2 linked regions of the Mus musculus genome follow. The protein of the gene in region 2 purifies or fractionates together with the protein of the main gene of each other region. This does not show direct contact. Links are inferred from orthologs where the notes say so. Each region holds a gene or a part of one and is shown on either strand. Other genes may lie near its edges.

Region 1 (3,808 bases), on a different chromosome or scaffold from region 2:
GGTGAGTGTACCCTTTTGCTTCCTCTCCTGGGCTGTGACTCGGAGCCAGGAACCTGGGAGACAGGTAGAGAGAGAGGAATAGGACCAAGACCCCTGCTGTCCACCTGAAATCATCATTGGCCCACAAGCCACACAGTGCTATTTGGCTGCTCTTACAATCATTTCTGTTTGGGGTCACATGAGCATTTGGTCCAAACATTTTGAGCTGCTGTGCAACAGGGTATGAGCCTGTCCAAGTCCACATTTGGGACAACAGGTAGTCATAGAATGAGACCCTGAATTATAAAGGGATAAAGAGGCAGCCAGTCCAGCCTACCCTCCCAAAGCCAACTTTGTCCTCTGTCCAGGTGCTAGCCACACCTATTCCCTCCCTGGCCAGCTCCACCTATAGCCCTGATGACTAAGCAGGTGGGGCATTGGATCTAAGGTGTCAAGAACTTCACCTGTCTACAAAACCACAAAGGAGCACTTTTCGCTCTGGACCCAAGACTGGTGGGCACCCAGGCCAGGCAGAGACGAAATTGAGAGCTTTGAGCTTGTGTTGGGACCAGGCCTTTGCCCTGGCTGTAGAAGTCATCTTGGTCAAAAGAGGAGTTCTGATTTTGGCTTTGGGGATACCCTGAGTGATCCTCTGGCAGACAGGAGGTATGACAGGGAGCAAAGAATGAGTTTCCCCTACAGCAGAGCTGCTCTCTGATATTCTCTCCTTTGGGAAGCATGGTCTCTTCTACAGAGGAGCTGCTGGAGGGACTGATGAGGGACCCATCTCTAGGAGAGCAGTCAGAGCTGAGCCAAGCCTGGGTGTTCAGCAAGAACTTAGCAGGAAGTCTTGCCTGTTCTAGGCACAGCCTTGTTTCTAGAATGTATAGAGAAGAGAAAGTTGAAAGATCCAAGCCGGCATTGGGACTTAAGCTGGCAAGTTGTTCAGTGGATAAAGGCACTTGCCAGCAAGCCTGATATACTCAGTTCAATTCCTAGAACCCAGATCATGGAACCCAGATGTAGCATGGTGTGTGCATGGGATGGCTCACAAGCTAACATGGAACTGCTCTAGAGGGCGTGGATAAGGTCTCTGAGCATCTGCTCTGGGAGTCATGCCTCTGGAGCCTAGTGACCATGATCTGTGCAAGCCATTTGCACAGTCAAGAAGTGTTCAACCACTAGGGACATGAGCTGCCAGCCACCAAGCAGTCCACACCCTGCCCTCCACGTTGACCCTGATCTGCCCTCTTCTCAGCATGCCTCTGCAGACGTGGAGAAGATGATACTGGGGAATAAGTGTGATGTGAATGACAAGAGACAGGTGTCCAAGGAACGGGGAGAAAAGGTAGGTGTTGCCCTCGTGATCGTTTTCAGCTTGGGTGCTTCTTCCTAGTCTTTTTGCCATCCTGACTTGCCTGAGATAGAGAGATCCTTGTGAGGTGATAACCCTAGGCAAGACAGAGCTTCCTCGTGGCTAGCAATGAGAGCTTGGCAGTGAACTCTTATCTTGTCACCAGAACCAAGCAAGGCCAGGCACAGCTGGCATCACAGCAGGGAACAGAGCTGGCTTAGGCTATGCCACATTCCTCTCCTCTGCACCCTCCCCACGTGGTGTGCAGTACCATCACACAGTGAAGGTAACACCCTTAGCTTGAGTATGGTAGCAGCCCATCCCAGTTTCCATTCCTTAGGAAACAATGGGAGTCCACACTGTGTTCATGTGTCGCCTTCATTACAGCTGGCACTCGACTATGGGATCAAGTTCATGGAGACCAGTGCAAAGGCCAACATCAATGTGGAGAATGTGAGTCCAGTCAGATCCTGCAGGGAGCCATGGGCTTGTGGGATCAGTGCTCCAGGGCTGGAGGGGCTTTCCTTTGGGAGATTCAGCCTGGAGTATCCAGAGGGATTGGCCTCTGGCTCAGGATGCCCTCTGTCAGGCACTCAAGACACAGTCTCACTAGCTCAGCAAATGAGGGAAATCAAAGCTCAGATTCCAGTACCTAGTACCCACTACCTACACCCAGCTGTGTTCCTCTCAGCCACACTATTAATTCACATCCCCAGTGAGGATCCAGGTCCCAGTGCTGTGCCCTCATCCTTATGTTGTCCCCAAGGCAGTGCCAGCCTGGCACCTGGCCCTCAGCTTTTCTCACACAGCCCTAGTGACACTCAAAAACAGACCTGCAGAGCTACCTGTAATCTCAGCACTCAGGAGGCTGAGGCAGGATTGCTGAGACCAGCCTGGGCTACACATCAAGACTGGGGGCGGGGGCTAAATCGCTCACATCACTCCACAAAGTACCCAGAGGACGGTGGCCAAGGCCTTTGTCCTGTTCAATTCCCTTCACTCCTACTCCTCCCATAAGCCACTTGGGCCTGCCCTCCCCAGCCTTTGCTACACTCCTTTCCTGCCATCAGATTCTTGTTCCCCTGTCCAGGCCAGCCCATCTCCATGCACTCTCCCCTGGCCCCACTTTCCAGGTCTCCAACACTGCATGGAGATGCTAAATCCAACCTACCTCAGATTGTCCCCTCCATGGGACAGCAGTCATTTGCAAACTGGAATTTGTAGCTGTTCTTTAAAGAGAGGAGGAACCAGGCTTGATAGTGATGCCTGTTGTCCCAGTACTTTGGAGGTGGAGGCAGAAGAAACAGGAGATTTAAGGTCATGTTCAGCTACAGATGTCTAAGGCTAACCTAGACTCTCTAAAATTAAAATTAAAAAAAGGAATTGGCATGGACAGAACATAGCCATGGATAGATAATCCTTCCAGACCCTTCTGAACCAGTTAACCACGCAATACCTTTGGGCAAATCACATGGTCTATGAGCCTCATGTCATCAAGGGCCAACTGAGAATAATGCCTGCTCGCATTCACAGGATTGTTGGTTTGGGGGAAGGCCTTTGTTCCAAGGTGCTCTACAGGGGGTGACAGATGGGAGCCTGACTGGGGACAGGAGGCAGACCTCCCTTCCCTCTAGCCAATAACTTCCCACCACTAGAGGGTGCTGACGGCCTGTTCTTTCCACAGGCATTTTTCACTCTTGCCAGGGATATCAAAGCAAAAATGGACAAAAAATTGGTGAGTCCAAGTCCTTCCTCCATGTGGGGTTCTGTAGGATGCAGCCACCCTTGACTGGGACAGCACATCACTGCCCAGACCTGCCATCCTAGTGAGAGTGTGTGTGTGTGTGTGTGTGTGTGTGTGTCAGTCTGCATGTGTGTACATGCGCAAATGGCAGCCAGAAGTCAGTGTCAGTGTGCTCTTCATTCAGTTCCCACCTTAGCTTTTGAGACAAGATCTCTGATTGGACAGTGAACCTCGGGCCCTTCTGTCTCTCCTACCCTGACACTGGGATTATAAGTACCACCACCCTGGCTTGGTCTTTGTTCAGTTTTTTTACAGTATTATCTTATTGGCTTTTTCATAGTATGAATGTTTTGCCTGCATGAATGTCTGCACCAAATGCATGATTAGTGCACTCAGAGGCCAGAGAGACTGATAGGAACAGAGGTACAGATAGGAACTACCATGTCATTCTGGGAATTGAACCCAGGTCCTCTGGAAAAGCAGCCAGTGCTCTAAACAGCTCTTCAACGCTTATTTATTTATTTATCTGTTTGTTTGTTTGTTTATTTGTTTTTATTTAGAGTCTCCCTTTTGGGGCAGGGAGGACACATGTATGCTGGTACCTCAGAGGCATGGGATCCCTGTAGCTGAAGTCACAGATAGTTGTAAGCTGTACCTCATGGGTGCTGGAAATCAAGCCCAGGTCCTCTGCAAAAGCCACTGGTGCTCCAACTTGTGAGCTATCCAGCCTC
Region 2 (4,336 bases):
CGCACACCTTTAATTCCAGCACTTGAGGAAGAAGCAGGTGGTTCTCTGTGAGTTCGAGGCCAGCCTGGTCTACAGAGTGAGTTCCAGGATAGCCAGGGCTACACAGAGAAATTCTGTCTCAGAAACAAAACAAAACAACAAAAGAACATTCAGGGCAGCCCCTGGCTCTAACTGAGGACCTGGGAGAGGTACTTTCCTTAATCACCCCTGGCATCCTCAGAGACTTGAAAGAGGCTAAGAGTCTCCTGTCTCAAGACCCCTGGAGCGTGCCCCCTCAGCCTTCCTTTCCTCCTCTGTGAATGTAGAGCGGTTATTCTGGCTGGCTTGGCACCCTTGAGGGTGAAGGGAAAGCAGACAGTATTTTAAAGTTTGAGACAGGGTCTCAGGTCGCCCATGTCAGCCTTGCACCCCATATGTATCCTGGGATAAGCTTGGATTTCTGATCTTCCAGCTTCTCCCCGCTGAGGGCTGGGATTCCAGGTGTGTGCCATCACGACCAGTATCTGTCTGATGGGAAAGCACACTACTCAGCAAGGTCCACCCCAGCTTCCAACCAGACAGCTTTGTAGACCCTGAAAAGGGACACTCCTCAGAGGTTGCATCTACCCTAGCCTCTGTTTTCCCATTTGTCAACAGGCTGCCAACTCTAGAGGCTGAGGCAGGAGGATGAGTTAGGCAGACTAGGCAGCTTGGCCTCAACTTTAAAAAATAAAATAAAATAAAAGAACGCTGTTGCGGGTTTGGACTGGAGAGATGGGTCAGTCGTTAAGAGCATTTGCTGCTCTTCCAGAAGTCCTGGGGTTTAGTTTCCAGCACCCACATGGCAGCACAACCCGCTCCAACTCCGATTCTAGAAGAGCAGGGGCCTTCTTCAGGTCTCCCGGGCTACCAGACACACAAGGGGTGCAGATACACTTTCAGACCAAAGCCCATATGCATAAGATAGAATTAAAAGTAAGAAAGAAAACCGTAGCTGGGAGTGTAGCTCAGCTGGTGGTATGCTTGCCTGGCATGCAGGAAGCCTCAGGGTCCATACCCAGCACTGCACAAACCAGGCATGGTGTGGGGCACAAGCCTGTAATCCGAGAGCAGTAAAGGAGGTGGAGGCTGGGGAATCTGAAACACAAGGTCATCTTTGCTTTTATAATAAGCTAGAGGCCAATGCGAGCTACATTGGTCCCGGTCTCAAGGAAAACAAAAAAAGAAAACCCCGACGCCTCTGCTGGGAGTTATGGCTAAAGGCCAAGGCGGGAGCCAACGCCCAGAGTACCGGGCCCCTATTCTTCAAGTCCCAGGAAAGAGGGGGCGTGGTCTTATGTGGGCGTGCCCTTTGTGGGGCGTGGGTGTGGCCTGACCAAACTGGGGCGGTGCGGCCGGAACAAGGAGCCTGTGTGGAGCTTGGAGCTGGTGAGCCAGGCCTTCAAGAGGCGTGATCTTGTGGGGGCGGGTCTGAAGAGGCGGGGCCTCTAGGGGGCGGGGCCGGCGGCCTCGCAGGCGTCAAGAGTGTGTGGGGCGCCGGTCTCCCGGTGTTCTCTTCTTCCAGCCCGGCTGGTGGTCGGCGGGTCCGGGCCTCCTGCGCGTCTCGGGCCCAAGAGGGGCCTGTAGCCAGCTCCTCGAGCCGCCAGCCCGTCCTGCCGCCCATATGGCCGCCATAAAGGCCCTGCAAGAATGGTGCCGGCAGCAGTGCGAGGGCTACCGGGACGTGAGCATCACCAACATGACCACCTCGTTCCGCGATGGCCTGGCCTTCTGCGCTATCTTGCACCGACACCGGCCTGACCTTATGTGAGTGCTCTTTAACCCCTCTGTCGGGCTCTGATGTGCCGCTGCAAACGGGAAACTGAGGCCACGCCTGCCTTGGGATCCGGGTCGGAGGTTTCAGACACACCCCTCTCAGATGGGCCACCCGGGGTAGAGCAGAGACCTGCAGGTACAGCCTATTTGGTGGTCTCCAAGGCTGTGGCAGTCAAGTAGCCTCTGTGCAGGCCACCAAGTGCAGCTGGGCCAGGGGCCAGGACATGGGCTGTCCAGCCGGCTTAGTCAGTGGTGACTCAGGGCAGCGTCCGCCTTCCCCGAGCTCCCTGAGAAAGGGCAAAGGAACAGCTCCTGGGGGTCTGAGGTCTGGCCCCAAGATCAGGGCCATTTGAGGCTTCTAGTGGGATTACTGCCCCTCCTCTAATTTGTCTAGGCATCTTTGGGAAAGCAATCAAAGAGGGAAGCGCAAGCCTTTTAGCACCTTAGAATGACAGGAGACAATGGAGTCTGGGCCATCATCCTTGGAAGTTGTAGGAGAGGACAGGGATTGGGTCTAAAGCCTTCTATAGAAGAAGAGTCTTGGCATAGGAAGTTGGGAAGCAAGCCAGCTCTGTCTTGTTGAAGGACCTTGGCCCACAACTCAAACTGTTCTATCAGTTATTCACTTAGCAAACACTTAGGCAGACTCTGTTACAGGGACCTAAGTTAGTCTGGTGACCAGAGTCCTGAAATGGGACAAGATCACCTACAGCCCATGCCCTTCAGAGGAAAGCATTCTCCTGTACATGGTACATAAATGCAGAGTTGGCTGGTCTGGGAGTGTTTCCCAGGGAGGTCTTAGGGCTGAGTGAGGCTCCAGGCAGCACCTGTGGAGCCCACCTCAGCCAGCCTTCTTGCTGTGCAGATGGGGAAACTGAGGCTCCGAAAAGGAAAAACAAACAAATATTGTTCGTGTTACACAATGTGTCAGGAAGAGCCAGGCCTGGTGCTATCAGACTCCCTTGTGCCAAGCTTTGCTCTGCTCAGGAAGCCGGAATCTTGAGCAAGAAGTAGGCTTCTGCCCTGTGGTTATGAATTCCCCACCCCAACCCCCGAGCTGCTTGGGAGGGCCCCATGGCATGAGCCTCAGTCACTCTCAGGGAGATGGATGGTGTGAGCTCAGTGGGGCATCAGTCATGTGGAAACCAGGAAGCTGAGCTTCGATGGATGCTGGGCCAAGGATGTAGACCTTGGAAAATGGACTTGGGATGAGAACGTGGGTAGTCAGGTTTCTTCCGGTGGTGCAGGGGGAGTCTGGATGATGATGCAGAGTGGGGAGCTCAGATGAGAACTATGTGACGAGTTCTCAAGTGGAGGAGACGATGATGTTGGATTTTGGCTGGATTAGCCTCAGCTGGTAATTGGACAGGGACAGGGCCTTTGCAGACATGGGGTTTCCTCTGCTCCGAAGCAGGGACTATGTGTGCTCATGGCCTGACATGTAGTCCCCACAGAGGAGGAGAGGTGTACACGAAGAGATATATGTTTATTTATACTTGTATGTTTACTTGTGTGTGCATGTATATGCTGGCACAGGCAAGTGTTAAAGATTTGCTCACTTATCTAATGAGTGCCTACTGTATACAGCATAAGGTCATCTAGTGCAGGGAGCAACTTCTGGTCTCAGAGACAGAAGTTCAAGGTAATGACAGGGAACAGGGAACCAAGAGTTGGTGACAGGAAGGAGGCTGGACGAAGAGGTGCCTGCTCAGTTCACTCTGGGAGGGTTATCTCACACTGCTGACTTCCTTGCGGTCTCCCCAGCTGGACTGATAGCTCAAGTCTCTTAGTTAACCCGGTATGGCAACCTGGAGGTGGTTACAATGTAGCTGGAGCCCTACAGATAAGGGCCTGCCTTGTGGGCTCAGTAGATGTAGAAGTTTGGTAGGAGCTTGTGTGCATTTGGAAGGAGTTTGAAGGTGACAGAAGTAGGAAGTCCAGAGGTGGAGACAAGGGACACCCTGGGGCTTTCAGAAGCTGGGAGGGATAAGACCCTCTGTCCTGTAGCAAGTATGTCACTGCTACACCTTCACACTGGATCCCTGGCCTTTGGGAATCTGAGGACAGGTAGCCCTGGGTGTGGATTGTGTAATAGCAGTGGTGGAAAGAGCGTAGGGATTTTGGCAAGAATCACACTGATGAGATTGTAAAGCAGTGGTTCTCACTCAGCCTGTGGGTTGCAATCTTCTTGGTGGGGGTTAGGGTGTGTGTCAAATGACCCTTTTACAGGGGTTGTCTGAGACCATTGGAAAACACAGATAAGATTCATTAACAGTAGCAAAACTATAGTTATGAAGTAGCAACAAAATAATTCTATGGTTGTGGGTCACCACAACAGCAGCAACTGTATTAAAGGGCCACTGTGTTAGGAAGGGTTAGAAGCACTGGTGTAAATCGTGCCTGAGTACAGGAGGATCAACTTAGACCATGTGAATCCAAGTATTAAAAGCCCCCAGCATGGACTGGTGAGATGGCTCAGTGGGTAAAGGGGCTTGCCTCCAAATCCGATGACCTGCTTTGGATCTGCAGGACTCACCCACAT

The links.
Region 1: the proteins of Micall2 (region 2) and Rab8a purify together in Homo sapiens (co-immunoprecipitation; 3 studies listed by BioGRID and IntAct, with this or other methods). This does not show direct contact. The link is inferred for Mus musculus from reciprocal best matches to the Homo sapiens genes MICALL2 and RAB8A.

Annotation. Positions count from the first base shown.
Region 1 is NC_000074.6:72,174,603-72,178,410, forward strand, and holds part of Rab8a (ras-related protein Rab-8A), read left to right. Parts: coding exon 1-1; intron 2-1,237; coding exon 1,238-1,327; intron 1,328-1,720; coding exon 1,721-1,786; intron 1,787-3,017; coding exon 3,018-3,068; intron 3,069-3,808. UniProt on the Homo sapiens protein: The small GTPases Rab are key regulators of intracellular membrane trafficking, from the formation of transport vesicles to their fusion with membranes.
Region 2 is NC_000071.6:139,733,467-139,737,802, reverse strand, and holds the start of Micall2 (MICAL-like protein 2), read left to right. Parts: upstream 1-1,469; 5' UTR 1,470-1,642; coding exon 1,643-1,785; intron 1,786-4,336. UniProt on the Homo sapiens protein: Effector of small Rab GTPases which is involved in junctional complexes assembly through the regulation of cell adhesion molecules transport to the plasma membrane and actin cytoskeleton reorganization.